2 linked regions of the Drosophila melanogaster genome follow. Changing the gene in region 2 together with the main gene of any one other region gives a genetic interaction. Each region holds a gene or a part of one and is shown on either strand. Other genes may lie near its edges.

Region 1 (18,273 bases), about 11 Mb from region 2:
CACTGAATCCGAGATGTCATCGATGACGGAAACGACTATGACCAGTGCTAGGAGCTTGGGTGGAGGAATTCCCCCCCTGACAATGCGGATGGAGCGTTCTCAGGAGGCACTACTCACGACGCGATCTTCCAAGCTACCCAGACCCAAATGCAGATGTCCCTCGGAATCGGATTTAATTGAACACGAGCAGAAACTGGATATGGGTCACGAGTTGCCCCATGACCTGGCAGCGAACTTCGGCTTGGGCGAAGGCTACCTCGTAGACGAATGTGGCCAGGGCGACGGACTCATGAGGCATCCACAACAGCGCAAACCAATGGAGTTAAACAGGCGAGCCGTTAGCGGAACTCCAAGCACCTTCAACAGCGACGGTTGCGAGTATCAAATCAATGTGTCGCGTTCCCGCTGCTCTAATGATAAGATTAAGTAAGTAACTTATAATACTTATACACTCTATTACATATAATTACATCTGCATAGCTATAAAAACCTTGGGCGCAAAAGCTTTAGCTTTACGAATCCCCAAGTGCGCGAGATCGAGCGCCAGAATCAGATTCTTTTGCGCAAGATGATGACTGTGAAGCCCACGGCGACGATCAAGGCTAGCACCAGTAGCATAAAGATCAATGGGCCCGAGAAGGTGAGTACATAATATAGAACTTATGTCCAATATTAAACCTCTTCCTTAACAATGTCATACAGCGACAGACACCTCCAGCGCCACGACTGTCCAGCGCAGCTGTGAACCGGAAGAAGAATCAGCGCCAGATCGACCTGGACAACGATCTGCTCAAGCGGAAACTGGAGGCCATCGGCACACGGCGACCGCAATTCAAGTGACGCCTCCACAGGCAGCTCCAACTGTGTTCATTAAGTAATTAAAAGTGTTTATGCGAATTTACAAAATTAAAATTTATTGCAAGTTGAAAAGTGTAAAAAGCTGTATAATCTTAATATAATTTTAAGGGAATTTATAAACCAACTAGAATTCATGCAAAAATGTATAGTACTAGTAAAATTTCGTTCCGATCAAAGTCAATGCATCAAAATGTGTTTATAATTTGTACATTTAGGTATAAACAATTCTATAAATGTTATCGTAATCAATAATCGAATTGGATAGCAATATTAAATTTAACAATTATTTTGCAGCACGTTGGTAACAAATTAAACTAAGAAAAACTCCCGAAAATAAATGAAAGAAGGCGAAAATATTTAAACAGGTAAAAGGAATTAGATGGCATATCTGAAACTTCAAAGAAAAGCTTACAGAGTCACCTCGTTGATCTTGGTCAGAAATGTCTCTCCCAATGCTTTCATTGCTTTAAAGGCAGCATCTCCGTTCTTTTCCTTGAACTCTTCTTCATTTTTAATCTTGACCTTCTCGCGGCGTTCCAATTCACGATAGATAACCTGACCAATCTGAAAAGAAAACTAAGATTGAACGAAATTGTATGGAAAAGTGAATATCAACTTACATAGACATCGATGGCGGCGTACATTAGTTGATTCTCGTCCAGCGGAATGACATGCCACTTGCTCATGCGCACCTTCTTGCTTTTGTCCATGGCCTTCTTGGCTATAAAGTTGGTTAATCGCTCCAAGCTCCAGCGCCCGCCGGTCTCACAGACCTCATTGCACCAAAGACCCAAGTCCACGCATTTCTCTATCAGTGGTTCGGCTGTAACCTCGGGGAAATCACGTGCCAGCTTTCGGAAATCGCTGGAAAATAACAGATTTTATTTATCCAAATGGATTTTTCCTTTGTATAACTAACTTCTTTATGTTCACGCCATGCAATCGCACTTTGGGATGATTGATAAGGGCCACCAGGGCCGCAGGCAGTTTCTTCACATTAGTCAGCTGGTATATGTAGCAGCACTTTTCATCCACGCATATCTGGATGACGGCAGACTTGCCAGGTCCTGTTTGGAAAGAGAAGGGCCACTCCATGTCGAAGGCCATGGGCACTACCTCATCTTTTTGTTTTTCCACCCATTGCCTAAGTTTTGATTTTTAATGCACATTATTAACAAGCAGGAATAAGTTATAGAGTTAACTTACAAAACATCGTCAGCAGATGCCGCAATATCCTGGCTCTCCGTGAAATACTTTATAGCACCCTTGTATTTAATAAAGGGAAGCTTTTCGGGCTTTTCCTTCTCCGGTGATGGAGACCCATCCTCTGCCATTGAACGAGTGCTTCTGGTCAGCCTGGAACTCCGGCGCTTGGGCGGATTTTCTTCCTCCATCGCTAACTTCTCAGTCTTCTATAAAGTTGTTAATGCTTCGTCCCAATATAAACTTAATATATAAATTGTTGCTTACCACATCTGGAGTATCCAGATTTTTTCGCTTGGCAGCCGGTCTACCGGGTCTTCCTTTCGTTTGCTTTGGCGTATTATCATCTCCAGCATTTTCTTTATCTTTCAACTGCAAGATTTATTCGGTTGAAATAGTATACATAGTCATTATTGCTTCCGATTTACAGAAACCGATTCTTAGTTTTGAAAAAAGCAGTAGCAGTATTTTAAATAATAAATTCTAAATAATAAACAAATGCAAACCTCTTTTGGAGTATCCTTTTTTGTTGCTTTCCTTGCCACTTTGGGAGTCTCCTTTTTGACGCCCGCCTCCTACAAATACTTTTAAGTTAGTTTTTATCCCTGCACGAAATTGTGTATTAGCCTACTTCCTTGGGAACTTCATTTGCTTTTGATTTGATGGGCATTTTTGTTAAATATTTTTCCATAACCCGCGTTGCTTGTTCGTTTTCTTAAATGCTTTGTTTACTATTATTTCCCGCCAAAAATATGGAGGGGTAGGCGCACATAAACACCACAGTACGAAAAAATACTGTGACAATCGATAAGTGCCTTGATGAGTTATGAAGGAACGGTAGAATTTGGAACAAGGAAATGTTTTTTATTTATTTATATTATTGTTATTTCAAGGTGAATTCGATAAACTAAAAATGCAATTTTTTTAAGAAAAGAAAGATATAACTATCTATGTGCGAAATAAGTTTATAGGACTCAAGAAAGTATATATAATATGCTATTGAAAAATTGGCGCCCCACATTTTGGGGGACATCTCCACTCGCAGAGCCTGTGCAAGCTTGACCACCTTAAAGGATATTTCAGGAAAATTTCATAATAGAATTACCAATCGTTTTTGAGATAAGCTCATTAAGTACCATAATATAGATCCACATAACAATTTTTCTGCTTTTGTTTCCAGCCCTGCCCAATTTATAGATACCAGATTAAGTTTCCCGCTAAGATATGTTGCGATCTTCTTGCTCTGGTCACACTTAACTCGAAAGCCGCATTATTTTGTTTACATCGCGAATCCTCTGCTAAATCCAACGAAAAGATGTCCATTGCAAACGTTTCCACGCACTACATATCCGAGAAGGTGTCCCAAGTGCGCTGGCTTCCGGAGGAACTGCAGCAGAGCGAACGGTTCGTTACTGGAAGCTGGGACATGGACCAGAACTTCGTGCGCCTCTGGCGGCTACAATCGAACCAATATGTCACCGCCACGGATTCGGAAGTGGACCAGATACCTCGCTGCATGGACAAGGTGAGAATGGAGGACGATGTGACCGCCATGGAGTTCGTCGACAAGGACACGCTGGCTGTGAGCTGTGCCGATGGTCAGTTACAAGTTCCAGCAATCATGAACTCAGCTAAATAAATGTCTATTTTAATACCAAACAAGGTCATCTCAGCGTGTTTAACGTCCATCGAGCCGTGGAGGAGGATCAGATGCAACGTACGTCCCGATCGGGACGTCTGCACTGCTTCCAACGTAGCCAGGAGCCCGCTCCTTGCACCGACCTTTCTGTTTACGGCACGGATATCGCCACCGCCGGCGAGGATGGGTGTGTAAGCATCGTCTCCGTGGAAAATGTGCGCCAGGTGAAGCGACAGATTGAGGCGGACAGCATGGCGCTGTTTTCCATTTGCTATATCAGCCAGCAGGAACTGGTGACTGCCAATAGGATGGGTGTTATCCGAATGCTGGACGCCCGAGTGGCCACTGAAGCGCAGCCGAAGACCACCTTTATGGTGGCCTCCCAGGATGACAAGTCGAACTTTGTCTCGTCCCTTGCCAAGCATCCGATGCAGCAACATATTTTACTTTGCGGCAGCGAAGAGGGTTCCATAACCGTCTGGGATATGCGAAACCTCAGTTATCCCGCCTCCTATCTCAGCGCTCACAAAAGTCCCATCAACGAGATAGGCTTCCATCAAAAGGATCCCAGCAAACTGTTCACCGCCGCAGAAGGTGGCGAGGTGTGGATGTGGTCAGAGAACAAAGTTCTCGGGTGCGACTATAACAAAGACGGACACAGCCCCTGGTTGTCTGGCGATCGTGTTCGCTCCCTGGTCGATGTGGAGGGAGTGCTGAGTAATGTTCGCAAGTCCATCAACTCCTTCGATGTGCATGGAAGTCGTCTGGTCTGCGGAGGCGACACAGAAGCCGTTTACCTAGTTGATAATATTGTTTAAATGTCAAGCCTTTTGAATTCCTTACCTAAATTATATAATATTTCAATTGTTGAAATCAATTAGTTACTGTATTTAATTTTCGTATATTTATTATTTTCTTTATATACTCCAAAATTGGCTTAGATCAAAGCACCTGTCTTACATCTACGTCTAGTTTAAGCTTAGGACTCTATATTCGTATACAGGTGTTTATGGGTTTAATGCCTTGGCAATTCCAATTTAAATATTCTCGTTTTGGGTGCTGCTGTGTTGTTTGGTCTTATGATTCATACTCATATCCGTCTTAAATCCTATTTCGTTGGCTAATTTGGAATAGATTTATGCGTGTTTTGAACTACCTTATTTAATGGATGAACTAACTTGGATTCAATGCATATTAGGCTAAGCGAATATAATAAATATAGTATGTATAAGTATGTACAGTGCAGCTCTTAGGCCTACTTTTGTTCGATTCTCCGCGATTCCTCAGATTTGTATTGTTTGAGCATTTTTAACTGCATTTGGATGCGGATTTGGGTTATGAGTATTATTACATCGTTATGTTCAATTAGGATTTCAATTTAACACGAACCCAAATTATTTTTCTACAGCAATGTTGAGTATGGCATATACATTATTGTATTTATCAGCGATAGAGTGACTATCCCCGTATAATTCACTGAGTGGTCCTCCTTTAAGGTTTCTTATCCAGATGGGATCCTCCAGATTTTAGTCCCTAGTAGAATCGTTCGAACTTGGGCGCCTTGTTGAGTGCGCAGAAATAATACCCTGAATAGTTTTGTGTGGCTCCGGGTGGAGTATAATCGCCGATGCTGTAGTTCCCGTAGTCGTAGTTACCCATGTGGGCGTGGTGATGGTGATGGGCGTGGTGCTGGTGGTGCATGTGGTGGGTGTGCGGGGGGTGGTAATGCTGGAAACCTCCTGCACTCCTTGGCTTTTGTCATGTGAGCAGGCTGTTGCCACCACCAACTCCGCTGCCGGTGGAGGACTCTCCACCAACTCCGGTTGCCCCATTGCTGCCATTGCTGCTGTTGTTGTTGCCGTGGACGCGCATGTGCCGATTCAAGTTCCCCGACTGCGAAAATCTGTGGACACCAAAAAAGCAATTAACTCGATGTATAACGTTCCAGGACTGCTCTTTGGGGGCCTAAGCCTTTTTTAAGGGGTAATTTTCATCTTTAGCATTACATTTGAATAAACAATTATTATTTCATTTAATTTCAGTTCTTTAGTTGAAGTTGAAAATCTTACGAAAATGCATGAATGAAAATGAATGATGCATATTATCTTTGGTTTTCCTTTTTTTTAAGCTTGCAACAGTCTCAGTTTTGTTCAAGTTGTTAGTTTTATATTGAAACGATAGAAATTATTAAACTATCTTTAAAGCTTTAAGGGTTTACGTAAAAGTAAAAGCAAAACCATTTTCGTTCGTTTAGGAATGAGGAAGGACGGTGTAAGTAAATCCCCCATCCCGGACTCACCTGAGCAGGCAGAGCTTGCACTGGTAGGGCTTCTCGCCACTGTGGATTCGCAGGTGCTTGGTGAGGGTGCTGCTGTCCGAGAAGGACTTCTTGCACGAGGAGCAGCGGTACGGCCGCTCGCCGGAGTGGGTGCGCATGTGCGTGGTGACACTGGAACTCTGCGAGAATCTCCGGTCGCAGATGGGGCAGCGGAACGGCTTCTGGCCGGTGTGTGTGCGTACGTGAGCCGTCAGGTTGGCTGCCTGCGAGAAGCTCTTGTTGCAGTCGGGGCATCGATAGGGTCTTTCGCCGGAATGGGTCCGCAGATGGGTCTTGAGCGTGCTGGGCCGGGCATATGTCTTTCCGCACAACCGGCATAGATTGGGTTTCATCTCGCCGCCACTGCTGCCCTCATCGCCGTCCAGATCCTCGTTGCTATCCTCCTCGTCCTCGAAGGCGGATAGACTTAAGCCCAGGGCGGCTGCCTGATAGCTGGTGGGACTTTTGTGGGGCGGTGTGTATCCCTGATTGCCCACCCCCGTGGGATAGTAGCCAGCCAAAGAGGAGTTGGCCGGCGGCGATGGCGACTCCTTTTCGCCCACCGTCAGCGGTGGCAGGGCACCCAGACCCGTGGGAGCCGGTGCCCGAAAATCCGCTGTAAAGGAATATGTGGCCGAGGCAGGATAGTGACCGGGACTCAGCAGCGGTGGGTATAGCACATTTACCGCCGCTGCTGCTGCTGCCGCCGAGGTGGAGTTACTGGGTGGCGTCCAGTTCATCTGGGAGCACTGCATTGGCACGCCGCCTGCATCACCGGCACCGTAGCCATGGTGCATGGTCATGTTCATGCTGACGTTCACGCTCATGCTGGGATACATGGCTGCCGCCGGAGGAGGAGGTGGTGCGGCCGTTCCAGCACTGGTTTCATAGTAGCAACTGGCAGCGTTGGCCACTCCTCCGGCACTACCATTACTGCCGATATTGTTGCCACCACTGCTTTGGAGGAGAGAGTTGCCTACGTGCGATGCCTGGACTTGGGATTGCTGGTGCTGGTGCTGCTGGTGCTGCGAGTGCATCTGGCCATGATTGTGGGAGTTCGGCGAAATGAGCATCTGGTGCGGATGCACTGTGTAGGAGAGTGAGGCGGCCTGGTGCGGATTGCCGGCGGCAAAGTTGTAGGAAGCGCCGCAGGGCGAGAATGGGAACAGGCTGGGCAGCGGATCGATGTCCAGCGGCGGTAGGCCGGGAAATGTGGAAGCCATCTCGTCGGTGCTCCAGTAGCCGTGATTACCCGAGGAGCCTCCTCCGGCACCGTTGTTGCTGCTCCCGTTGCCGCTGCTCGCCGGTGGTGTCGTGCTGATCTGGATGTGGCCGCCACCGATGCCCACGCCCACTCCAATCGTGGGATCGAAACAGCCGCCGCAGTCGAAGTCGCTGCTGGTGAGCGAGGAGATGGGCAGGGCGGTGCTGCCCTGGCAGGATAGGCAGCCGACGCAGGAAGCGGCGCACTCTTGCTGCACGAGCGAAAACGGAAATGGAGATTGAGACCGGTTATGAAATACATTCAGTTAGTACTAATACGTAACTAAGACAAAATAATTAGTTAGTTAGTGGAAACATTTAGTAAATTTTAACTATTTTTACATTCTAATACTGACTTCTGAGGAGAGTTTAATTGTATTACATATGGAAGGAATTTCTAAGCTATTAAACTTCCCAATAGATAAAATCGTATGGGTTAAAAATGTAATAGATTACTTTAAAAACGAAAATGATAAACTTCTTAGTACAAAACTGTCTGATTTTTCAGTTACCGATATAGCAAATTAAAATAACCACAATTTCGGTATTGGGTTCTATTTCCTGGTTATAAAATTTAAATAGTTCAGGTATATCACAGATTTCAGCTAAGTTCTTTCCACGAAACAAGCACAACCGAACGCTCGAAGATTTCCGGAGATATTGAGGCGAAATCGAAAAAGGATTCCAGGACTCACCTGAGGGCTGTCCAGCGCCAGGCCGAACAGGGGATTGTTGGGCACATAGCCCGTCTCTGGTTCCACAGGACCGCCGTTTGAGACATCGCACGATATGTACATAGCTCCACCCTCTTGATCTTCCAGGGAATCTGCGCAGCCAAAAAAAAAAAAAAAAGAACAGCATGAAAATCACTGGAAGTACGCCAGAGATGCTCGCCAGCAGCGCGTATCTCATGGATACATTTTTGCTCCCATGACAACCACTGTGCGCACTAGCTCCGCCCCTCGAGACACACACAGACACACACAAATACACAAATCGAGAGACCGCCATTTGCTTTGCTCTCTCGACTCGCGACTTTCCATCCGTGTATCGCCATACAATATGCTGTATCTGCATATCTGTGCAATGGTGCTTCCGATTTCACTCACCCAGAATTGTGTTCAGGAGTTTGGAACCCTTATATAACAATCCCATGACATGACTCCACTTCTGGAACGTTTGGGCTCAGCAGTCGCGCATTTGTTCCTGCTTTTCCTACGCTTCATCTTGATGCGTTAATTTCCAACTGCAAGGCGATGACGGAACATTATTGGTAAATTCTAATTAAGATTCACTTTCTATTCATTTATTCAAATCTATTATTCAATTTATTATTTATTCAATCAAATACCAATATCAAATCTAATCTTCATATATTTTCAATAAAGTGTTAATAAATTCAGTTTTAAATAAAGTTCGACAGCTAATCAGAAATTAGATACACAATATGACAGATTCTTCACCTCTAAATTTAAAAGAGATATCGAATTATAGATCGCTCTTATGACGAAGATGGATTTCAATTCGATTGTTTCATTATTGTTAGGACTAAAAAATTATACTAAAATTACAATAACTTTCATTTTGAAAGAAACAAAACGTTAAAATTGCTATTTAACTAATTTATGCATGCAAATCAAAGTAAATTTTTGTTTTTCTTTTTAATGAGATCAAAGCTATGATATTGTTAAATTGATAAAATCTTCTTAGTGAATTGATTTTTTCGATCTTAGCCAAAACATTGTTAGGACATTTTAATTAGCTATTTGCAGTTATTAGGTTTTATTTCAAATACATTAGTTGTATTCCATTTTTTCTTTCTTCTTTTTTATTGCAGATTTAATATTGTTTATTCCGTTCTTTATTCACATATGCACTCTTAATCGTTTTCACCTTCTGAATAGATCCACAAATGGCATGATACCAAGATCACCAATAGAATTTCAACGTTTTCTTGCAAAATATGTTTGTAACTTTTTTTTCGAAGACTCGGTTTTAAGTAGTAACACACGATCGTTGTTTTCCGATTTGAATTTTATGCGTTTTCAGTTTTCGATTTTTCGAGTGCGGGGCAAGAAGCGACTTTTGGCGAGGAGCATAAGACGGCGACTAATTGTCAGTTGCAGTTCGGTTCGAGCCACCTCGGCCCAAAATCGACTGATATATCGGATTGGCAGAGCGGCAGCAAAGCGACAACCGACAACTACAGAGGAAGCAGCAGGGCGCAAAAAACATACTCACTTAATTATAAACAAGCGACAAAAGGGCGCAAAAGACAACGGCAACAACAATCTCGCTCGCACTCACACTTTGGTCGGCTATAATGACACAAGTACGCAGCACTACACACTCGAGACCCTTGCTGAAAGCACCCCTCCTCCAATACCAAACCCATACCATACCATACCCACACCAAGCCATCCCGCACTATATCCCATGCCCACTCCTGAGATTCCATCCATCCACCACCACAACAACGCTGCCGTCATCGTTGTTGGCCAACCAATGCGCTCCGTCTGCCGGCTTTTGCGGCTACTACCCACCCCTCTGCTGCTTCCACGTCCACATCCTCATCCAAATCCAAAGTCACCCTCCTCCGCCTTCGCCTTCGCCTCCATATCCGACTCCTCCGCTGCCGATCCCGCCCAGTCCGAGTTTCAGGCCCATTCATACGTGGCCAGCTACATCGGCAGCAGTTTTCAGTAGTTTTTATTTGTCACCCAATATCTTACAGCTCGACACCAGATACCAACGAGGCGGGGAGAAAAAAGAGTACACTTCGAGAAATAATCGCTAGCAAGCAGTTCTAGTGCTCTAGAATGTTACACTTCAAAATCGATGGCCGTTCAAATAACGTTGTTTTCAATTCACAAACAAGTATCCTCACTTTATTTGTTGAAAAGAAGATATGAAGTTCCTTTTCCTTAAAATCTATAGATGCACAACCGCAGATTGTCGCTAAATTCTTAAGAGGACATCAAATCACTTGAGACTATTTGATATGCTTGTGATTAGTGAATATTTTCGATATATAACATATTATTTACTTTCTTAAAATAAAGGTATTGTAATTTTATTACATAATAAACAAAAAGTACTATAGGGATTATTAATAAACAATGTAATTGGTATGATATAAATATGATACAAGAAGTATTGAAAATAAAGTAATTCACATATTAAAATGGGAATTTTCTGGCAGGGTCTCTGATGAGGGAGGGACAGTTGCTACGGACTTGCCAACCATTGATCGTCTTCGTCGGCATTCTGCTTCCTCTTCGCTCCATTGTTTTGTGGTTAAGTGAGGCAGTCCATCGGCCAAGTCGGCCGGCAACCCCCTGACTGCTTCTGTAGCTTGTATCTGCGTATCTGGCCGTGTGTATCTGCTTCTGTTGCGTGTATCTTTGTATCTCTATCTCCGGCGCTGATTCTCAATTGTAGCCCGGCCAATGACGACTGCCAATCGATCGATGCTCTTGTCGCCGGGCCGACAATCGTGAATAGTTTGAATGTTATTTGATAGTTCGATTTGTGGTCGCAGCAGAAAAAGCAAGGAATAAATCGCAGGCCAGATGGAAAAGCAAATGGAAATTATGAAATAGATGTGTTAAGCCCAACTCGACTATATTTAGCTAAGATATATTATAGATATAATGCTATGAAGAGATCCCAATTCGGATCGATCACCTGGTTCACACGCCCGAAATCGAATTCACCGCCAATTGGCAAAATCAGTTGAGTGCAAAGGCTTGCAGTGATCGCATACGTATCGAGCTATATCCCCCATATCACCTTACCTTATCGATGGGAATTTCAGGTCAAGCCCAGCCAGCGTCGTGTGTGTTAAAATCAGATCCACAGTCTGAGCAGATTCGAACCAGTTTTCAATTTTTATATTTCTTTTTTTTTTTACTTCGCTTCAAGTATCAGTTTCATGTCAACAACTTGGCTAAGGACATGAGCCTGTCTCTGCTGCCGATTGTCAGAATGGATTAGGATGCGATCCTTGAGCTGCTAGCTGCTAGCTGCGAGCTGGTAGCCAGGCAATCCGGTGGTATCAATAACAATTAGCCAGAGATTCCACTCAGGTGGTGCGTTCAGGTGTCAGCTGATCAAACTGCTTCCCATCTCTCGATTGACCGCAATTCAAGAATTCAAGAGTTTGCTACAAATTAAGCCGCAGGGTAAACATATTCGAGCACCCCCTCTTAGAGGGACCTGTTATCACACCAGCCCATCCACCAACCACCTTATCATCGCACGTGGATTTGTTTGCCAGAACGCTCATTGCTAGCTGGTGTTTGTTTTGCGCATTTCAATTGACTAACAATGCCAGGACATGATGCTGCCCATCCCTGCGTACGTTTCCCATGTTGCCACCAGCAACTTGAGAGGCAAATTTCACTCATTTTCATTCTGCATTTCGTGTTCGAGCACATTTCATTTCATTTCAATTCAATTCATTTCATTCCATTTCTTTTGCCTTCGCCGCTCTGTAGTCCGTTGTGAATTGGCGAGGCTTCTAAAATCAATGAAATACTTTTCGGGCTGCACCGATGGGGCTTCTCCTGGTTTGGGCTGCGCTTTGCTTTTATGCTGCCACTCAAGTCATTCAACATGTTAATGCCAATCGGTCATATTAGCTACCATGCCGGCTAAAATGAGCTAACCAACTTGGTTCAACTGGAGGCGGGGAGTGGGGGAGGTGTGCCTGCTCAATCAGAGATGATTAACAATTAGTTGTCATTAAGTGCGCTTAACTTTGATACAGAAATACAAAAATAAACAAAAATAAACAAAAAGTAACAAAATTATAAACAAGTCCTGGGCTTAGAGCCTTACAAAAGGAACGTACTCCTTTATTCTTTATTTAAGAAAATAAAAAATGCAATCTTAAGTGCCGTGAATTATAAAAATGTTCCACACCTTTAACTTTTAATTCCATCGAAAGTCATATCCTTGAACTTATCAGTTTGTTGTAATTGAATGCCTGATGAAACTTATCAATGGTATTTGAACATAAGTTACCTCTAATTATAAATTTGTATTAAGAAACGATTCAAAAGTTAAGATTTAATAAGAACAATTGAATTTAAGTGGCTAAAATCTGTGTTTATATCAATCAATCATCGCTTAACAGTCGGTTTTTAAGCCAAATTCTTCTTCAATATAGGATGTGAAAACACTCTTCCTAATTTCTTATCAATTTTTTTATTTACTAGGTTTACTGAGAGGATCCTTTAACTTGTAAATAACACTTCCCCAGTGATATAGACAACTGGCGTGGACTGTATGGTTTCTATGATATGACTTAGTAGGAACTGTAGAGTTTTGGAACTGGAGTGCATGAGACATCTGTGAGTGCAATTGGGCCGACAACCGACGCCCCCGCTCCCGAGGAGAGTATCGATGACCGCGTGACAGGCGCAGCCGTTGCCAGTTGACATTTGCTGGACAGGATGGGGAAGGACGAACCGCTGTCCTGACAGCTGGACGATTCGGCATCGGGATCGGGACTGTCGCATAACCCACTTCTTATTAAAAACCTAAGCCAGCTTATTAAATGCCCGCGACTTATTAAAAACCCAGGGGGAGAAGTAGATACAAGTACGGTCGAAGGACTCCCCCAAGAAAAGGAGACAACTACTTGAATTACAAACTGAACTTGGCCACAACAATGTCTTTTCGTCCTTCTGGATATGAGTACACTTGAGTGAAGCGCGCCAAATTGAATTTGTAAGGCGATACTTTCTGAAAAACAAAAACAAAAGGGGGTTTCGGTACCAGAAGGGTTCATTACCGGTATACTCGTATCTTATCAATAAAGTTGCTATTCTGGGTGACAGATACAAACCAATGCAGCAGTAAAAACGCACTCTTTGTTTGTTTTTTATTGGGGCATCACCTCCGCAAACAAATCCTGTGAAAAGTTCCGATCGATGATCTATTGGTTTCTCACAGTAGCGAATTAAGGGGCGTTTGGTCCTTCAATTATCTGCGGTGCCGCACGCTTCGCTATCTTTAATGCCATTTTGGTGAGCCGCAAATGATTATCCTGTAATCCTTTGGATAAATATTAAATTTCAATTACGCCATTTAACATATTATTAGCCACCGATCGGCACTATCATCATCATTGGGCAAGTCACGTGCCGTCGAGGAGCTGATAGCAATCTACGCAAAAGCGAACAACCGCAACCCTCCGTTTCTGCAGAAACAGGCGTGGTGACAGCCCGCAAAGGATGCGACTGCAATTTTATCAGATTATACATGTCGACGGAGTCCCCCGGGAGTCCTCCCGCCATCCACCCCCTTGGTCCTCCTCAACAGGTGAGCGAGTCCAACGAAACTTTGTGTGAGAATTTTTCGGCCTTTCCCCGATTCTGCTCCCCTCTCCATTTGTATCGGGTTACCTTGCCTCACCCGATTGGCGCTGTGATTTGTCGTTCTCGAGCATTCTCATGAAATTAATTTGAAACGGAGTATCCAGGATGGATATCAGTTGAATTAAAACAATTATTCCAGGATTCAGTTAATTTCTAGACCATACATAAAATTATTATTACATCAGCTTTTAACAGTAACTCCTGTTATAGCTTACAGAGGCTGTTAATTTTTAGGGTGAACCAGGTTTGCTTATTTGTAATTAATATTAAATAAGAAAAAAAGTAATCATGGGCGTGACAAAACGAAAGCAATTCACAAGACCAATAAAAATTGAGGTACTAAGATCTCGACGTTCGGATACGGATGATCCTGATCTAGAATATATCAACTTTATGTTACATATTTTTACAATTTTACTCTACGAGTAACGGGTAAAATGTAACCAGTAGTTGCATAATTCTTTCTGAAATATATGTGTATTAGGAGAGGGATGAATGGACGCTCATTACTTTTAGTAAAATGTCTTATAGAGCAAATTGGTTTATATTTTTTTTTTAACATATCTCAATACCTAGAAGAACTTTTTTAAAGATCATTTGACTAAGAAGCTGCAGCTACAAAATAAATAACGAGAAGCAATAAGTTGAAAAGTTCAAAACTTGTCAGAATTGTCATATCTAGTTACCTAGCAAAAGATTTATCGAGTGACTGTCAATATATATTACATGTAATACAAAAACGGTCCCCTTGCAAATCCAAGCCGAAATCCTGTGCCAATAAGAAGTCGAGTTCCCCGACTAACAGATACCCGTTGCTCAGTTAGTGTGAATGCGCTGTGTCTATGTATCTAGAATCTGTATGCTGCATCACAACCTTCTAGCTTTTAAAGTTCCTGAGATCTCGACATTCAGACGGACAGAGGAACATGGCCAGATCGACTCGGCTATTGATCTTGATCCAGACTATATTCTAGTCTTGATTCTAGTATACCCTTTTACTCACGAGCAACCGATATAACAACCAAGATCTTTGTAATATATTATATATAGTCAGAAATTTGATGTGCTTTTTTTTCTGACAGCAAATATATCATATTGAAAACGAGCCACATTTAATTATACAAAATCATTTTTATTGAGAAAACTTAGGCTACAGTAAACTCCCCCTTAAAAACAAGAAAAGTAAATCAGTAAATTGTGCGTTGGCTCTCAGCCGCAGACACCCGTCTAGATTTTGGGATCCTGGGGCGTAAGCTTGACAATCTTCACGGACTCCTCCCAGATCTTGAGACCCTTCTCCTCATCGAGGGCAGCAGCATTAAGGGTGGCCTCCTTGCAGTCCATGAAGTACTTTCCAGACACATTGGCCACCTCATTGGATGTGGCCAAATAGATAGTGGTCTGGGCGCCGGCCTTGGTGGTCTTGAAGAATCCCTTGGTGATGGCCATCATGGGCAAGTTGAGGGGGAAGGGAACGTTACGCCAAATGCCCGAGTCGATCATGCCGGGATGCAGGAAATTCACTGTAACCTTGGTGCCCTCCAGCCGCTTGGCCAGCTCCCGGGCAAAGTAGATGTTCGCAAACTTGGACACATAGTATAAGTAGGCAGCCGGGAAAGTGCCGATGGGATTGAGCTTGGCCAGGTTAACCGACGACAGGCGGTACAGCTCCGAGGCTACGATGACTATGCGAGCCGGCGCGCTCTTCTTTAGTACATCGATGAGCAGATGCGTCAGCAGGAAGGGTCCATAGTGATTGGTGGCCATGGTCAGCTCCACGCCATCCTCACTCGTCTGTCCGCGGAAGGCCAGAGCCATGCCGGCATTGTGGATAAGCACATCGATCTTGGGCTCGGTCTTCACAATGTCAGCGGCGAACTCACGGACGGACTTCTGGGAGCCCAGATCCAGTTTCTTGACTAGGATCTTGTTGTTCTTCGTCTCCTTGACGATCTCATCTGTGGGAAATCAACAATAAATTACAAAATTCGGTTATGTAAAAAAAAACATGGTTAATGCAACGCCAACATATTATAAGATACTTTCTTTAAAGTAATTACAACGTAAATATTTAATAAAAAAAGATCATTGGTAGTAAGCAGTTTTTGCCAGAGTCTATAATCAACTGGATGAGACCAGTTATCGGAATTTGACCGTGTTGCATGTCCTGCCAGATCCTTGGCATAACCTCATAGGCATTGTCTTGGTCCACTTACCCTTCACTGCATTGGCAGTCTCCAGGTTCCTGCAGGCCATGATGATGCGGGCTCCACGTCCAGCCAGATCCTTGGCCGTCTCCTTGCCAATTCCGCTGTTGGCGCCTGTGATAATGACTGTCTTGCCCTCCATCTTTGTCTGTAATCAATGTCGAAGGTTAATCATTTAATACGGCGCTGCAATCGAAAATTGGACGAGGGCGGTTCGAAAATATGTTTACAATACTAATTAGTTGGCGCTTGTTCACAGTCACAGTAATCGCAGTTCGTCTGGAACGGAAGCTATCTTAGTTTTCAGACCCATTAACGGGTCGCTTAATTGCCATTCGAGTGCTGAGAGCTTTCTGTGAATCAGAGGTAAGCGATCTCACAGATTGTAACCGAGATACCCAGAAGCTTAGATGTTTTGTGGGATACGAACAATGTTCGGTCAGGTGGTAATCGTAGCTCAGAGATGTGACGTACCTCGCCTCTCAGAAGGTATCTAATTTAATCTGTAATTAAGTCGACGCGTCACAACTGACCAATGTAATAACAAGATTGAAACACGTTAAGTTTTCCTAGTGGTGATTTCATATATAGTTAAAAGATTTCCATAGTCGGAATGCTTGGAATGCTACAGAATCGTTTTAATTATATGGGGTTTTTCCAGATAGTGATATATGTAGTTTTCTATAGAGCGGTAAGCTGAACCATTTTCAATTATGGATCTGTAATGTTTATCTGAATAGTTCGCATTTATATGAATATATAAAATTTGTAAAAGTTTTGAGCGATTAATAAGCTTAAGGTCGTGTCCGAATACTGTTTTAGTAAACTATCCCACCATCATTTGTATGTATATGACAGCTCATCTACAAGATCTGAAAAGAATTCGCAGCGGAAGTGGGAGCAACAGCCATATAAAGTGCGAAATATTCGAGTCGTGTCGCGATTCTGGGGAGCATGGGACTTGGTTTTTTGGATTGGGTGAGGTGCGTTCGTTACCTCGGTGAAACATCGTCCCGCCGTGATGCGCAGATAGAACCGAATGCTCATCAGGGTGGCCACTATGGCGGCCACTGAAGTCATGAGGAAGATGTCGCGCACATAGTGCTCGGTCGACAGCCAACCGAAGATGAAACCCATCCTACAAATATGCCGAGGTGTGTATACTATATATTGTATCTTCATATACGTATATATCGGTGTCAACATGCAAATCAGATTATATAATAACCGAAGCTGCCAAAGCCAGACGATTGTCTTAGGGCATAACGAAACGAGTTTGGTTTTGGGTTTTGGGGTTTCATGGTTTTGGGGATATTGGTTAGTCGGCGAAGGTTTTCACAATTCAAATCGTTTATCAGTGACTGTCAATAAATCAATTTCGAAAACTGTTGAGAAAACTTACACTTTCACTTTCACACATGTGCGTAATTATGGCTTATTATGATGAAACGCCGAAAAAAATAACATTCAACCAAGTTCATTGACAGCCCAAACGAAAGAAGGTTGAACAAGAAAGAAAGTCTGAAGTTTCATGTCGTTTTGAGTTTCTGGTTTTTTCTTCTCTGTTTGTTTTTTTTTTCCCCCACCGTCCACGTCACAAAGATTTCCAAGAGCTTTCCTCAAGACTCGAAGACTGGCTCTGGTTACGCTTGCATGCACCATTTAAGAACCCCCCCAACCGAACCACGCCCTACAATGCAGTCTCGAAAAGAAACAAGATCTATAGATGTATGAAAAAGTCTAGAAGTGACCCGTTTTTGGGTTTTGTTCCTCAACTTTTGCCAGTCGGAGACGAGTTTTTTAGTGCAAACTCACCTGTTTTGGCTGTTGGCTGATCTATAATTTATTCCAACTTCTGCTGACCTGCACTTTGGACTATATCTGCGCTGCGAAATGGAATTGGTGGATCCAAGAGCTAGTGCCACAACCTTCGCCTTGAACGACTAATCGGAGACTGAAGTCGGAATTCCGATTATAAAGCCGAGGCTGCGGAGAATGCGCGATCGTCTCCACCGGTTTGGTATTGCCGTGGTCGCGGTGATTTTGTTATTGCACTTATAGCCATGGTAACAGGTTAGCCAAGCGGCTTTCCGGGCTCCTCTTTGGGATCGTCTTCATGAACGGTTCACTCGCAGCGAAAGAGCGAGCACAGAGTGGAGCCAAACTATAATACATAGTTACCAGCGGTAAGAGAAAGATCTGGGTAGTGGATTCCAAGAAAGTGTGTCTAGAAAGCCACCTGTCGGGGGCTTCGCAAAGCTTCTTTTCTAGTTATGCAGCTCGAATGATGAGCTTGAAATAATGTAGAAAATAATAATGGATAGTAATTAACTTTTTTAATGACCAAGACTTTATTACTATTTGAAGTACTACGGGTAATTGTATAAACATGTCAGATAA
Region 2 (15,700 bases):
CTATTAAAACTAAAAATACAAATAGTCTAATGTAATCCTTAAGCTAGGTACATAGTTCAGATGATCGAGCCTACGAGATTGATTTATGAATTTATTTAATCTATTAAATTTTGTTGGGTTAAATAACTAGTTTATTGTTATAAAATATATTTAAAATCTGTAGATTTTTTTTTCATTATTAAACAATTTGAATCGTAGTGAAGGTAACCCCATAACCACATAATTATACCAGTTAGTCGTAGAGTAATTATATTCACCAATATCTATCGATACGCCAATTAAAAATTAGGAAACTTCGCGTTCGCACTTCCACTAGCTAAGTAACGAGTATCTGATAGTCGTGAATTTGACTATTGCATTCTCTCTAGTTTTGAAATTTATTTGTAAATAAACAAAGAAGGAATTGCATTGTACTAAGTTCTTTTACCAGATCTGTGTAGCTACTCATATGGCCATATTTTTTATTTTTCGTTCTATATTTTTCCCCACTCATTTTCTATAGTTACAAAACAAAATTTTTGCTGTGCACCTCTACTAGCTCGAAACGGGTATCTAGTAGTCGAGGCTCTCGTTCTTGTATTGTACAAATACATAAGTTGGCAATTAAGGTGCGAAAAATTCGTTTTTGTATGCATATTACTTAAGATCTTTGCGTGTCGAAATCATACTGATTCAAAAAAAAGTTCACCAAAAGTAAGTAGTTGAAGATGAAAGTGGTCGGCAGTTTGCATATCCTCTATTCGCTGGCGATCCTAGTATCCCTACATTCTCTCGTCGCGGGAAACTCTTCGGTGGTGGCGGTGACCCACGAAAACTTGCAAGGAATAATCGATTCTAATGAGTTGGTTCTGCTTAGTTTTTACACGGATTGGTGCCGTTTTAGCCAGATTTTGCAGCCCATTTTTGAGGAGGCGGCGGCGAAGGTTATACAGAAATTCCCTGAAAACGGCCGTGTGATCCTGGGAAAAGTAAACTGCGACACTGAAGATATATTGGCCGATCAGTTTGACATACTTAAGTACCCAACGATAAAGATCGTCAGGAATGGATTGATTGGCAATCAGGAATACCGTGGCCAGAGATCGGTGGAGGCCCTTTTCCAGTTCGTGGAAAAGGAGCTATCAGATCCAATCAAAGAGTTCCATAACATTGATGACCTTAAAAACGTGGATGTTGGGTATGGAATAGTCATTGGTTATTTCATTTCCAAGGATCATGCTGAGTATGATAACTATCGCAGGGTAGCGAGCCTTTTGCGCAACGATTGTAGGTAAGTTTAATGTATCCATTGAACAACTCATAATCGATCAATATCTGTAAAACAATTTGTGGAGCTTTTGTAAACAAATCTATTAAATATATATCTAATTACAGGTTCCTTGTGGGCTTTGGTGACTTGACTAAGGACCTCCGACCGCCAGGAAAGAACGCGTTGATCTTCCGAGGCGATCCATCGATTCCGAATCACAAAAACCAGTACAGTGAGTACTTGGGCAACATGACCAGCTTTAAAGAACTAACCTTTTGGATCGATAAGACGTGTGTGCCCCTGGTGCGAGAGGTCACCTTCGATAATGCAGAGGAACTATCGGAGGAAGGATTACCATTTGTATTGCTATTTTACAACAAGGACGATCTAAGTCCCATCCAGGAGTTCAAGAACGCAATTCAAAGCCAGATGGAAAATGAGACGAGGGTTATTTTCCTGACTGCCGAAGGAGAAGTCTTTAAGCACCCACTTTTCCATTTGGGAAAGTCCCCGAGTGATTTGCCAGTGATCGCAATCGATTCCTTCATGCACATGTACCTATTTCCACGCTTCCAGGACATTTACGATCCAGGTGCCCTCAAAAAGTTCATTGATGACCTGTTCAGCGGTGCACTGCATTATAATTACCATGTGGCCCAGCAGGCTAAGGAAGATTTGGAGTCCATTATCGATCCAACTGAAGACCTGCCAGTCGTTCACGAGTCCAAGTTTAAGGACCTCAAGCCATCCAAGCACCGTTACACGTTGGTCAACCGCACAAGGGACGAGCTATAATATTATCCTACTCTACCATAATCTTTGCTCATGCTTAGGTGTAATCATTTAATATCGGTTTAAGTCAGATTCTTAAACGTAAGAATATTAATTTATTTAACTTGACGCTCAAATAAAATTAATTTGATATCAGTTGTGGTGTTATCTTGAGCAAATAATATGGTATAATATCCCCCATCGGATACAATCCGTTCTCCGACTATGAAGTAAAATATTTTCACAAGCCCATCGCCGACTTCACCAGCATTGAATGCCCCATTTTGGACGCTGTGACAAATCGCACACCCATCATATATGGGCATCTCATCAGATAGTCAGGAGATGACACGTGCCTCGATATCGATATTTCCTGGAAGATCGCCTCAATCCAGAACAGGAACGTCGATTTCATTTGAATATGCTTTGCCGACTGCTCTACACCAGACCATATAAACACTAATAAACTCATTAGTCAAGCATCTTACAAGCAAATCTCACAGGTGCAAAATGCCAATACAATAAAATTGCAGTTCTCTTTGCAATCTAAGTACAGTGAAGTGGAAACAGGACAATTTTGTATATCTTTGAAACTTAAAATATCAGTAAAAATATCAATAAAAATATAAATATATTTTTTTTAACAACAAGTATTTAAAAATGTTGACCGTACCGAACCGATGTATTCTTTAAACTACTAAAAATTTAACGACATAAATTCCAATTGATTTATTATTAAAAGATAAAGTGCACAATTTGCATTTTCGTTGACAGCTTACCACATGTATTCTAACATCTGATCGCATCACAATGTTAAATTCTCGAGGGAGTATCGCGTCCTTCCTTTTCAGGGTCTAGGCTTGGTGCTTACACTTCTACTCCAATATTGTCATAATTAATAATATCTTTATGGTCATATGCCAGCGCAAAATCGAGCGTGACTCGCGATGAAGTATCTGCCACAGCGGCGAGTGCAGCTGCAGGTGCAACTGCCTCTAATCAGCGTCAGCAGCGCGTGCCACTCGCGTTGTCACCTGCACAATTATAGAATTTTCCATAGTCGGGCAGTGCTGGCCACCAAAATGGCCTGTTCCCAAAAATGGTGTCCGCCAAGAGTCCGCGCGAAGTGTCCGCCATAAATAACTGCCAATAAATGTCAACGGTTTTGGCGCATTAACATAACAGCTACGCCGAATTCGTTGACAGGTTACTGCTTTTTCATCGAGCGCAAGACCTACCTGGGCAGCATCTTCCATCCATCCATCTACTGGCATCATTATTTCTCGGGCTAAAATTGAAATAATCGCCTTTTAATCGCCTACGCCTTGACGGGCTGACTTGGCTCCAATTACCGCTGCAATCGTTAACTCTTCTGGCTGACAGCCAAGTTGGACATGAGCCCCTTCAATTGCCACTGGGATCATCAGGCCGATCGACAATAGTCGCGGAAGTCACGTGCGGAAGTTTTCCAACTTTCTCAGTTACAATGTTGGCCGACAAACATGCGAGTTCCGAATTAAAGCTGGAAAAACTTCCGTTTACAAATTACCTGTTGTCTTATTTTTTTGGAAATTAACCTAGTTTTAAAAAAAATTTTATTTAGATCTTTTTTCCGTTATTAAGATGAAGGCATGAACTGGTACTTAGTACTCATTTATATTTATGAGAAAAAGATTATAGTACGTTTGCTAAGATGGATGTTACGGGTAGCAAAGACCGTTTTCGACCTTATTCCTTATTCTTAGCTAGGTCCACTAGCCGAGTCCTATTAACAATGGCCGTCCGTATAAGATCAATATATTTATGATTCAACAAGCAGATTCTGTAAATGCCTGAGAGCGATTATGGGGTATACATACAATTAAATCGATTTTTAATAAAAATATATAGAGTAGCTGCTGACTTAAATACTCCTTATTCCTTCCTTTTAAGTTCGGAAAGATAGCTATAAAATTCATATACCAATATCCTTTTTTCAGCTGTAATAAAGCGAACGAAAATATTTAAAAAATATTTTATATTTTGTGCTTGATGTTCCCGCACTCGAAAATACGATAAATTCCCAAAGCTCAGTGAGACCCAGCTGACAATTACAATAGCAATTTGCCGTGGTCAAATGTGTGATATTTCAATTTAAACTTAACGGCGCAAGTCATTAAACGGCAGATACAACATGTACTGCAATCGGAGGGAAACAAGATGCCGCAAAAAGCGCAAATGTCGCAAAAGACGGCAAAAATCGACAGCAAAAGCAGAAATATCGGTGGCAGCCGCCATTTGAGAGAGCTCAACATATTCAAAGTTGTGCACGAGCGCGATTCCAATTTCATTTTGTGCTCGGCGACAGGGCAAAAACCATTTGCGCAGCAACAAATGAAGAAAAAACACAAACAAAACGTTTTTGTTTAATTAAATTAACAAAATACGCGTCGGATGAGCGGCTAAAAAAACTCGGTTATTTTGCACGCAGACCAACACGCCAACACGTGTTGCAGAATTGGCCCACAGATAGAGAGAGTGTGGCCAAAAGAGAGCCAATGTCAATGACTGGCTTTAAGCCTACTCTTAAGCCCTATTCTGTCCCACTTCCACTCGGCAGCCAAGTGACTCCGTCTCACTCGAGCCACCATTCAGTTGGTGGCCACTCACTCGCTCTCCATGCGAACATAGCTCATGCGCCCTGTTGTCTCGCTCTGCGGCACTCGGCCAACCCGTTCTGGCCAATCGGCAAAAAGCGGTTGAAAAACAGGCGGAGCCTCTCCGGACCCCCGATGCAACTTGGTCGGGAGCCCTCAGCCCCGAGCCCTGATCCCCGTCCAGAGGCCCAAAGCCTGGCCATAAGCCACATGCAAACCCTGCCCCTGCGCCATTGCAGCTGTCGGGAGAGTCTGTCAACCATTTGGCGTCCATGACCAAGCATGACGGCTATCTGGGCCCTGTTTGTGGTGCCACTGCTTCTGCCACTATCTCATCTCGAGTTCTGGCTTTCTGGCTGGCATTTTGACATTTCGCTCGGAGGCTTCTGGAAGCGGTGGCGCCGCACTGCAGCATCTGCAGCCACATCAGTTATCTGTTCCGCTGCGGTTTGCGGCGATAAATGTGCGCCATCATGCAACTGACTAACTGCGGACTTTGCATTGCGTTGCGGCACTGCGGTTCTGTTTCCAGATCGTGCAACTGTGTTATCCAAAGAAGTTATCCTGAACATAAAAATATGGAAAACAAAATTGTAGTATATTTCAAAAGAAATTTGAGATTTGTAAACGAAATGGGAGCTCCTTGGATAAGAAAATACATCAACTTGAAAAGACATCAAAATGTAAAATATGTTGCTTCTGCGTTTGGATACCTCGGAATTATATAAACAAGGAATGTTTTTAATAAATAATGTTTTAAATAAACAAGTATTTAAAAATTGATGTAACAGTTTTTAGTACATTCATTTAAAACAAGCTTGACGTTATAATCGAGCTTCTCGGCTATCAAATTCCCGCCACTCAGCTGGCGGAAGCGCGAGGGAAAAACTTTTCAAACTTCTTTTGAAATCTCGTAAGAAATTGAAAGGAAGAATAATAAAATAATATAATAATAATATATTTTACAAAAGTCTGGCTCGGATGGTTTGCGGGCGTTAAATGTTTTTGGCATGAAATAACATGTATTAAAATAAAAAAAAAAAAAACAGAACAATTTTCAAAAGAGTGTCGTTAGCTTTTGTGGGCGTTTGTGGATTGGGATGATCAACGGTCAAAAACCATCTTGCACTACGTAGAATCTACCTGACTAATCTCAACTTCTAAGCCTTAATTATATATATAAGAATATATATATTTATACCTGTTATATACTACTATGCCCGTTTACTCTACATGTAACGGGTATAAATACGTAATAATTTAAATGCAATTTTGTATTATATATGTACGTTTGGTATAATATGTCGTTATGTTGTCTTTATTTAAATACTATCTCATCGTTGTTGGCTGAAGGTATTTAAAAGGCGCGATCTATTATTTTACATGACACTTTGGCTTGGATTTGTTATTAAAAACATTAAAAACGTTTGCGTGAAAAATTATTTAAAAATAACTTAACAAACTTTATTCAAAAATTTTGTCAAATACCTAGATTACAAATAGCGTACTTTGATTTAAAATCTAATAAATAATTAGGATTTACCGATTTAATATATATTATACAATAAAATTTGTTATTTTTTCGTTTCTTAAAAACACATAAACTTTTTATTTTTCTTTTTTGATCATTTTCCAAGTGCTAAAAGTTATCTGAATCCATCGGTCAAAATGGCTGGTCGTCTGCAAATACAAAGTGGCATTGATGACAGTGCAAACAAGAGCGGCGACAGTCGAAATGCGATAAGGAAATTTGTGCTGCACTCAAATAAATGAAAAGCGGCACGGAAAGCGCATAAAATGGCAGCCGACAAATGGAAGACCATAAAAAATATGCAATTGCGGCGGGCGAGCCATATTAGCAGGTGAAATAATCAAATTAGCTGATAAACCGAACGGGAAACTGCTGGACATTAGGTTCCCAGTCGGTCGGAAAAACCACGATGGCTAAACGCAGCCATTTCCCAGTGATTTGAGTGAGGAAAGGCCAGCTACATCGTTGCCGTTGGGATCAAACATAGCTGCAATACTGCTCTACTGGTGCAGTACTGCAATTCTCAGTCCCCAGGTGGATGTGCCAATTGCATTGATTAACTAAATAAACGCGCAGCACTTGCATTTTAATTTCATTTATTTTGACCTTTTTCCCCGAGGAATGGCAGTTGCAGTTGTCACAGCCGAAATGCGCTGCCATTTTCCCACCCGCTGGCGACACATGTCCGTACCCATAAAAAATGCCTTGTCAGGAGTAAAAAAAAAAAAAAAACTTAAGAAAAATTAACAAAAAATATAAAACGGCAAGCACAAGCAAAAAGATGCCAGTCAAGGGGCGAGCAGTGAAAAAAGAAATAAACCAAGTGCTCCAATAAAAATTCCACCGCCTTCACCCTCGTGTCGACCTGCTCTCACACTCACACCCTCTCTTTCACGCTCGCACTCTCTCTTTTTTGCCCGCTTTTATGGTTTTTTTTTTGTTTTAAGAGCGCATCGCCGCTTTTGCCCTGCTTGCTCTTGAGCTTGGCCAACGCTGCGTATGAGTGGAATTTTTTCAGTGCCGCCGAATCATCGCTTCGCTTGAAATGAATATGTGTGATTATTAGCCGCAAAAAAGCGTGTTTCGTTTTTGCCACTGACTTTGGTAGTTTTTGCGGATTTTTAATTTGAATATTACATGTATTAAAAACTCATTACTACGCGTGGTTCGCCATCGAAGTTGGTCAATGGGCTAATGGTCTGCGGATGTGATTTTTTGTCATTTCAGCGTTTGTCTCTTGCGCAAAATTATGCATTTGGGATCGGAACGAATGTATGCTCCTATCTTCATTTTGGGTGTGGAATTTGCATTATAAAAATTTAAAAAAGGAAAATTTTAAACGTAAATAAATCAAGTTTCATTTGTACATGGTGGCAGAGGAGAGACGTAGAAATTGCAGACTAAGTAACTACATTTTTTACAAGACAATAAATAAAATAATAAAACGTTATTAAGCAATTAAATGGAAACCACTTTCCTGATAACACTTTTGATTAACCCGTCTTCGGTGGCGGACTTGAACCTTCATTGCTCGTCACCTAAACGCCCCCGTGTTTTACCATAAAGATTGAGCTATAAAAACGGAGTGCCGCATTAACCGTTCGCCGCGCAACGAGCAGCGTGCAACGTGCAGCATGCAACTCGCAATATGCTCATTCATGCTCAAAGTCAAGAGAAAAGAAAAGCCACTCAGGCAAAAAGCCCGAAATCAAATCAAAGTTGCTCAAGAGACCCGGTAGCAAAAAGCGAGCTGCAGGAAAAACCACAAACAATTTTTTCCATCGCCCCGAAGAGAGAGGGAGAGAGGCCGCGTGAGAGAGGGAGAGAGCGAGCGAACCACTTTTTGCCACTGCTTTTGGAGCAAAAGGAGTAAAAAGCTGTTGCGCAGGCGTCGCCGTCTGCCCCAAAGCCGTGCCAGCCACGAGTGCGAGAGAGAGACCGGGCGAGTGGAGCGACAGAGAGGGCAGCTATGCTGCGATTTGGCGGCGAGTGCGAGGCATTTGAATGTTTTTTTCGTGGCCGCACTCAGCATTCGAGTTCGGAATTCTTGCGAGCTGGCAGCTACTTTTTGCGCTGCTCGCTGCTGCCGCTTCTGCTGAGCCAAAGCCATAGGCAAAGTCCAAGCCAGGCTAAGCCAAACTAAACCTGGCCCAAACGGCCGGCCACTCGGCCACTGTCCACCAGTTGGCCACTTTCGCGCGCGTTCCAGCCAAGTGCACTCCTCAGTCTGCACTCTCCGTTCTGCAGTCCGCAGTCTGCAGTCTTTTTTGCCCGCGTCTCCCAATCCGCGAAGAATTCTGTCGCAAAGTGCAATGCATTTTCGCCATTCCGCAAGTGCAGCTGCTCCCCCAGCTCGCGGTATCATAATTAAAAATCGAGCCGAGTGAACTCGCAAATTGTTATCACCACACGTCGTCGTCGTCTGAGTCGGTAAAAAACAAGCCAGGCCCTCGAAAGGGTCGAAATTGGTCAAGTGTCAATGCGATCGAGGCCGTAATAAACGTGTTTCAGTGCTCCCCTGAATAGTTATTGTGATCCGCTGATCAGCTGAGTGAATGCAAGTGAACGAATATATTGAGGAGTATCCACTTACTACACGCGATAATTGCGAGAATTTCCACGAGCCACTCTGAGGAGTAGATATCGAATGGGGTTAGAAAGTAATGAAGTCATTCTATAAGTCCCAGCAGCAGCAGCAAGAAAAGACTAGCCTAATAAAATATTTATTTTAGGCCATTTTGCGGAATTAAGTTTTAAGATACTTGTTAACAATAATTTGATAAACTAGTTACAAAATTATACAAACACAAGTTAAACTGTTCCAAAAAGTATATATATTAAATATATTTAAAGCTTCCGCCTAAATCGATAATATATTATATATTTCCATATGTCCCTATAGTAAAATTATAGTTCGGTGATGATTAATAACAAAATTTACTTCAAATGGAAATATACCGTTTTTATTTTGTAAACTGAAACCATAAATTTTTCGTTTATTATGTAAACATTCCATAATTAAAAATTTTTTAAAATTATTTATGAAATCAAATCGGTTGCAACTCATTGCTCACATCACGATTCTGCTTAAATATTATTTACCTAGGTAATCCCAGCTTTCTTTTCTATTGGGTTCAGTACACTCCCGATTCAGGGATAGACGAAAGTAGTTGCTTTCTAACCACATGACTCTTTCCCTACTATTCGCATCTAGCTCGATTTCCCAAAAAGTGAACAAAACAACAAAACTAAACTAAATAGCGCGTTATTTAATTGAAACGTAAAATAGATATTCCGAGCGAACCCCCAAGTGGAACTAATTAGAATAACGCCCTGAACAACCGCCAATCGAAGGTGCTTAAATGATTATGCATGGTACCTGGTACAAGGGACCTCAGTTGGCGCACCATCCTCACTCGAATCCGCATAACAGTTCGCACGGCCACAGTGACTACCACCAGTTCCGCTCGTACCCCTCGTTCGTTGTAACGCCCTACCACGATGGCCATGTCCAGGGCCCGGCCACGCCCACTCCATGCACGGCCCCGCCAACGCCCTGCAACGGTCCAGTTCCAGTTTCAGTTCCAGTTTCGATTCCCGTCTGCCACACCGGCGGCCAAGGTTCGCCAGTAATTGTCGAGAGCTCATTTGCAATCGCCGCCGCCGCCGCTGCAGCGGCTGCTGCCGTCGCCGTCGGAGGATCCAGTGCCACGCCCCTGCTGCCCAGTCCGCCCATCAAGATCGAGCAGGTCTTTGGCGAGCCCTCTTCGCTTGGAGCCGTCGTTGAGGATTACGCGCTGGGACTAGATTGCCCCGTGGAACACACGTTTCGAGTAAGCGCACTAAAAAGTTTACAATATTATGAAAATATATTATATGAATACGACCTGGTATTATTTTATTTAATAAACACTATTAAGTACTTTAATTTGAATGCAACGGAAACTTTTATCTAGCTGATAAAATAAAACATTTACGTTGTTTTTATTGTATAGGCATTAATGATACTGATACAACCGTTTCTTTAATTATCATTTGTTAGTATGAGAGCTTGTATTCTTGGGCAAACGTTAAATCTGCTTGCCAAATTAGGAAATCTTCTAGCTTTTGAGATCTCAGACCGTTTACATAATCGAAAACACAGATAGATAATAATGATCCTAATGATACATCTTCGATTGAATAATAAATCGTTTTTTTAAGTAGAAGTAAGCTCTAATTCTACTGAAGAAGTGCAAAATTTGTGTAAGGTCATTACTCCTGAACATGGATAAATTTACCTACCCAAAACTAACTTCTTTGAATTTAGTGACATGAATATCGAATAATAATTTTTTTTAAGTTTTACTCATTTTGTATCCACTTTTAAGATATTGGTAGCCATTTGATAAATGTTTTCTTTTATTAAATAAATGAACACTTTAGGCGTTATTTAATAAAAAAAAAATAGTTAAAAGAAATCAAAGCTCATATTTTTAATCCTCACCGTTGGTTGCCATGCTTTAGCCATCCGACTGCCGTTTCCTAGCCAATTTTATAGCAGTGTATGGATAATGTTATTATGTCAAATTACTGGTTAGCATCCCCATTGGAGCAGCTGCTGCACTTGTTTGGCTCGACTCTCACCACCGAAAGTGGGCGTGCTCCAAATCAATTTCCATAAAATCATCCAATAACACTTAAAAGCCAGGCAGGGCAAAAAGCCGACAAACACAAGTGGCAGGCGAGTAAAAAACAGGAAAACAAACACGCCCCCAACTCGAAGAGCGTCAGTGAAAGAGCTCTCTCTTTCTCTCTTCGGGGAAAGCAAGAGCACCGCAAAACGGAGAGATCTCTTGTTTCGAGTGGGTTTTAATGGTAAAACGCTCAAGCTTTTGCGTCGCTTTTTCAGACGGTCCAAAGGACACTTTTTGTCGGCTTGGTTCGTGCACAGGATATCCCATAATTGCCTGGCTTACAAAGCTTTTCGCAGTCTAATGCAGATTGACTGATGGCTTCAAGTGGATGAAAGGAAATTAATGCAAATCAACAGGTGGTCCTGTGAAGTTTAAGGACATATGTCAGCCTGTGGAATAAAATATGTAATTCGAGGAATTCAAAATATGATTGATTTTTTTAATTGAATAGCAAATAATATCTTAAAAATTTTAAGTTCTCAAAATTTCTTATATTTCGTTATAAATTGATGGATTCTTATATGCGTTTCTCGTGTGCAGAAATTCCGAGAAATACATTTCAATTACCCGAAAGAAACCATTTTTTTTTTCAAACCTTTTTTGAGCTTTTAATGCATCTTAAAGGGCAAAACCATTTCCTTCTGCTGCTGGCGATGCAAAATGGACGCACGTTCCTTACGCTTATCAGGACATTTCGCCCTCATAGCCAAGCCCATGTGTATATGTGTGTGCGTGAATGCCAGCAAAGGGCAGCTGGAAATCCTTGAACATAAAAAGAAAACAAGCCAAGCATCCAGCACATGCACATAAAAACATATGCTCCTGGACAGGATTTAGTTTGGGGACGCCATCCGACGCCTTGCACTTTTTCCGACGCCGACTGCGACGCAGGCTGCGCTGCAAATGCAACTCCTCCATGCTGATACTGCCTCATTTTAAAGGGTCCTGATACTGCACCCTCGTACTTCTTATAAGCAAATCGGCTTAGACGAGCGTTTGCTAGAAAGTCTATCTCAATATAGATTAAAGGTCTTCCAGAATATATATATAATTATGGTGGAACAATGGCTTAAGAAATTGATACAATCCAATTGAGGTTGAAATGATACAAGAACATTTTTTATTTTAATTAAAAATTACATAAGTATTAGAACAATTATAAGTAGATAATAATTCATAGAAAACACAAGTCTTTTGTCCATATGGTGTCAATAACATATTTTTAAGCTTTATTGATTACTTCTATCAAGGTTCCTAGAACTAAAAAAGTTCTTAATAAGATTTGATCTCCTACTTTTCCACATCGATCTATAAGTAACTTTTAATTTACTCTTTGATCTACTTGGATCAAACAAGATGAATATTATTCAATGGATTTCCCTGCCGCACAGATGAAACTTAACTTGAGGGGGAAAATTGCAGCGGAAAATAGAAAATCATTCAGAGAAATTGCACAGCAAGCGGTAACAAACAAACAACGGGCTTCAGCTGAGCTGGGGAAAACTAGTAAGAAAAAGGGAAATAATATAAACAAAATGAAGGAAAGAAATTGGCGCTCGTGAAATGTTAACAGGGCCAGGAGGGCGCTGAGTTGAGCAGTGGCAGTGGCAGCAGAAGGATATATATCCGCAGTCATCCTCGAGCAGCGACGCCGACAGAGGCAGCGACGCCGACTGTGAAGCTGGCAGCGCTGAATGTTTTTATCCTTTCTTCGATGTGTCGTCGCGGCATATTGCTCTGCTCGTATCTGTGTGTGTGTGTGTGTCTGCGTGTGTAGCAGTGTGTTTGTGCCAGGACATCACACGGTTTCGCTTTTCTTTTACAACTTTTTGTTATTATTTCGTTTTTTGCTCGACGCCTGTAATGTATTTCTTTCAGTTTGCTGGCGTTTTTTTTTTGCTTCATGTGCAAGAAAAAAATAAGCTTTTACTTGGCTTTTTTATGTCCGAGTGTGTGTATGTGTGCGTGTTTGTTACTGCTGCTTTTCCGAGCTCTACTTCTTGAGTTTCCTTTTCGCGCGCGCCATTTCGCTGCTGCTTTCCACAGCTCCTGCTGCTACTTACCCGTACAACAAACATGGCCATAAGTCGCCGGAGCTCGCTTCCGCTCTGTCTGTTTTCCTTTTTCCACCAGTCGCCGGCTCTGCCGCAGTCGCAGTCTCGGCCGGCGTCTCAGCCGCAGTCGGCGTCGCAGTAGCTGCGATTGTTGCATGTGGTCCTGGGTTTGTTGCCTTTGGCGGGCTGCAACTCTCGTTGTCTTCAGTTCGCTTGGGCTTGGCCAAATCTATTGGTCGCGGTGCCGCGCTCACGCTCGCGTCCGTGTCCGTGTCCACATCCGCATCCGCATCCGCATCCGCGTCCGTAACCGTGTCCTTTTGCGGCCGAGAGTTGCGGCCACCGCACGCGAGATGGCGCCGCATCATGACGAGGGCTGAAAAACTCCAATTAGGATAACCGGGCTGGTGTCGGGGATGAATTTGTACATATTTAAAATCTACTGACATCCAGAGTATTAAGGACAAGGACGTGACATAAACGACTCTACCCCTTTCTTCTATTATCGATATTTGGTTATGTCCCAAGAACTCCCTGAGCTATATCAATAATATCTGATCACTATAATAAAGAACTAAAGATCCTTTTCAGCTTATTATGCTTATCTTCAACTAATAAAATAAATCAGAACTCTTATCATAGCTGATCCCAGAAGGACATGTAATAAATAATTGAAACTTCTGTTCTCTTTACGTGCTTACCAGCATATCAAAAGTACCACTATATTTTAAAAAGTTCTTAGAGTCAGAGTGAATTATACTTTAGTTTTTGGCAGGTAGATTTGGATATTGCTAACATTCGAGCACCGTCAAATATGAAAATATGCCAAACGTTGTTATTCTTGTCTACGCCTACAGCAAGCACGTCTTTTTGAAGAAAAACAGGCACACAGGACCTATTATAGGATGTGCAGCACACACACATATAAGCGCCGCTTGAAGACATCGAGGCGAAATCAAAATAATAAAAATCACAAACATGAGCAAACCGTATAAAAGAAACCCAATCTGCCGGAGCTCACCGTTTTCCCCCGATCTGCCGCATGTCGCGCAAATTCAGCTTTATTTTCTATTTTTCCCCATTTTTCGCTTTTCTTACAAGAAAATGCTGCAGTGCGCGCTGAAACTGCAAATGTATGTCTTTATAACGGGCAGTGTGCATATAAAAAGAAGAGAGAAGGGGGGAATTATAAAATGAAAAAGGGGCAGAAATAACAAAAACTGCAGCAGGAGGAAGGTTGAGAGGAGCAACAAAACAGTCACAACACACAAGAGTCTCAGTTAACGCACACACACACCATATTCCTTCATGTTTTGTGTGTGTGTGTGTGTGTGTGTGTGTGTGAGTGTATGTGTGTGGACTTTTGTATGTATAAAACATTCGCGCGCGCTCGCCATTTTCTTTTGCCCTGAGCTGCTGCACTTTGGCTTCCAGTTGGGCTCCTCAGTTGTTGCAGGTTATCCCACGCTCGCTGACGGACGGAGACGTAGACGGACTCACGGACAAGACATCCGGACAGGCGGACAGCCGGACGGGCAGGAGCCAACACAAGCTCACCCGGGAGACCAACTAGCAAGCACTCACTCTCAAATCTTTTCTTATCAGCATGAAATGAGGAAAATTGCGGTACATAGTTAGCTGCAGCTTTAAGCCCCGTATGCGTAATATGAACACCGGTCAACGAGGCGTATACACAATACCAAAGCAGTGCCAACACCAGGATGTCATTGAACACCACAATGGCATTGAATAAAGTTCCTTTTTATGTGAAAAAGTAAAAAAAGATAAGCCATGTTAACGCGAAGCTAAATAAAGGATTTTACGAATAAAGATCCTCAACGAAAGTGCAAAAATAAGGATAAATCATGTAAACTCCGAAAATTGTAAAATTCAACTGCAACGCAAAGTTCCTATCACCCAGTGCAAACTACATTTAGTATACAAGTGAATTATATTCACATTTCGCTTTTAACAAATAAAATAATCTACTTAGTATTTCAAATAAATAAATAAAATATTTATCAATCGAAAAATAATCTCTTAAATAATTGATGAGAAATTAAATTCACAATAAATATGCTGGAAAACGCGAATAAAAACTCACCACTAGACGACTAACTTAACCCACCTAGTGGAAAACGCAACAAACAAAACAAAACCTAAACTCCAGCCACAGAATGAAACAATCATAGATGAAAAGTAAACAAAACTCCACAGCTGAGCAAATAAATCAAAACGCAGAGACAATGAGAACCGACAAAGTGTTTACTAAACAATAAACAAAACATCAAACTGAAAAAAAACAAATTGGTCAGCATATGCAAAAAAAAAAAGAATTGCTACAGATGTCCATCACGAGCAGCACAACCATAAAATCAAAAAAAAAAATGTTCCAAAAATAGCAAACTGGCAGCCAGCAAAACTTTTCAAGGTCGTCGCTGGCAAGTTTCTGGTGGCAAATCATTTCTATTTGTTTCAATTTAGTGCGCATCTAAAAAAGAGCGGGGAAAAGTTTCTAAAGTGCACTCCGCCCCAGCCATCTAAAATGAAATAAAAGTTAAGCCAAAATAAAAAGACATCAGATTTGGTTGCAAAATTTTTGTTTGCTGTTGTTCCGCCCCCTTTTTTCAGCGTGAAATGATTGTGTGTGTGGAAAATCAAGCAAACTGTGCCTCAGTTAGATACATTACTGTAAGCGGGGGCTTTCCCGTTTGAAAGTGAAATTGTCGAGCTGGAGGAGTAAAAAAAAGGGCTGCCTACATCTGGGCTCCACCGAAGTTGGT

The links.
Region 1: of rn (region 2) and gl, changing one enhances a phenotype caused by changing the other (phenotypic enhancement), as found in Drosophila melanogaster (one study listed by BioGRID).

The regions. Positions count from the first base shown.
Region 1 is NT_033777.3:18,363,344-18,381,616, forward strand, and holds gl (glass), read right to left. Parts: upstream 9,396-18,273; 5' UTR 9,174-9,395; intron 8,527-9,173; 5' UTR 8,436-8,526; coding exon 8,390-8,435; intron 8,107-8,389; coding exon 7,976-8,106; intron 7,493-7,975; coding exon 6,000-7,492; coding exon of another isoform or gene 5,996-5,999; exon of another isoform or gene 5,604-5,995; coding exon 5,459-5,603; coding exon of another isoform or gene 5,234-5,458; 3' UTR 4,584-5,233; downstream 1-4,583. Other genes in the region: hmw (hemingway), read left to right, coding at 1-426, 481-640, 703-840; WRNexo (WRN exonuclease), read right to left, coding at 1,267-1,422, 1,479-1,722, 1,778-2,002, 2,065-2,270, 2,329-2,433, 2,568-2,636, 2,693-2,752; Nup43 (nucleoporin 43kD), read left to right, coding at 3,377-3,659, 3,725-4,518; CG7675 (uncharacterized protein), read right to left, coding at 14,894-15,624, 15,883-16,021, 16,870-17,010. UniProt on the Drosophila melanogaster protein: Transcription factor required for gene expression specific to photoreceptor cells.
Region 2 is NT_033777.3:7,302,177-7,317,876, reverse strand, and holds the start of rn (rotund), read left to right. Parts: upstream 1-8,247; 5' UTR 8,248-8,847; intron 8,848-9,401; 5' UTR 9,402-9,549; coding exon 9,550-10,020; intron 10,021-12,922; coding exon of another isoform or gene 12,923-13,285; intron 13,286-15,643; exon of another isoform or gene 15,644-15,700. Other genes in the region: CG10029 (uncharacterized protein), read left to right, coding at 708-1,270, 1,375-2,044; CG42544 (uncharacterized protein), read right to left, coding at 12,923-13,285. UniProt on the Drosophila melanogaster protein: Transcription factor involved in imaginal disks development. Isoform rn is required in the wings, antenna, haltere, proboscis and legs disks, while isoform roe is required in the eye disk.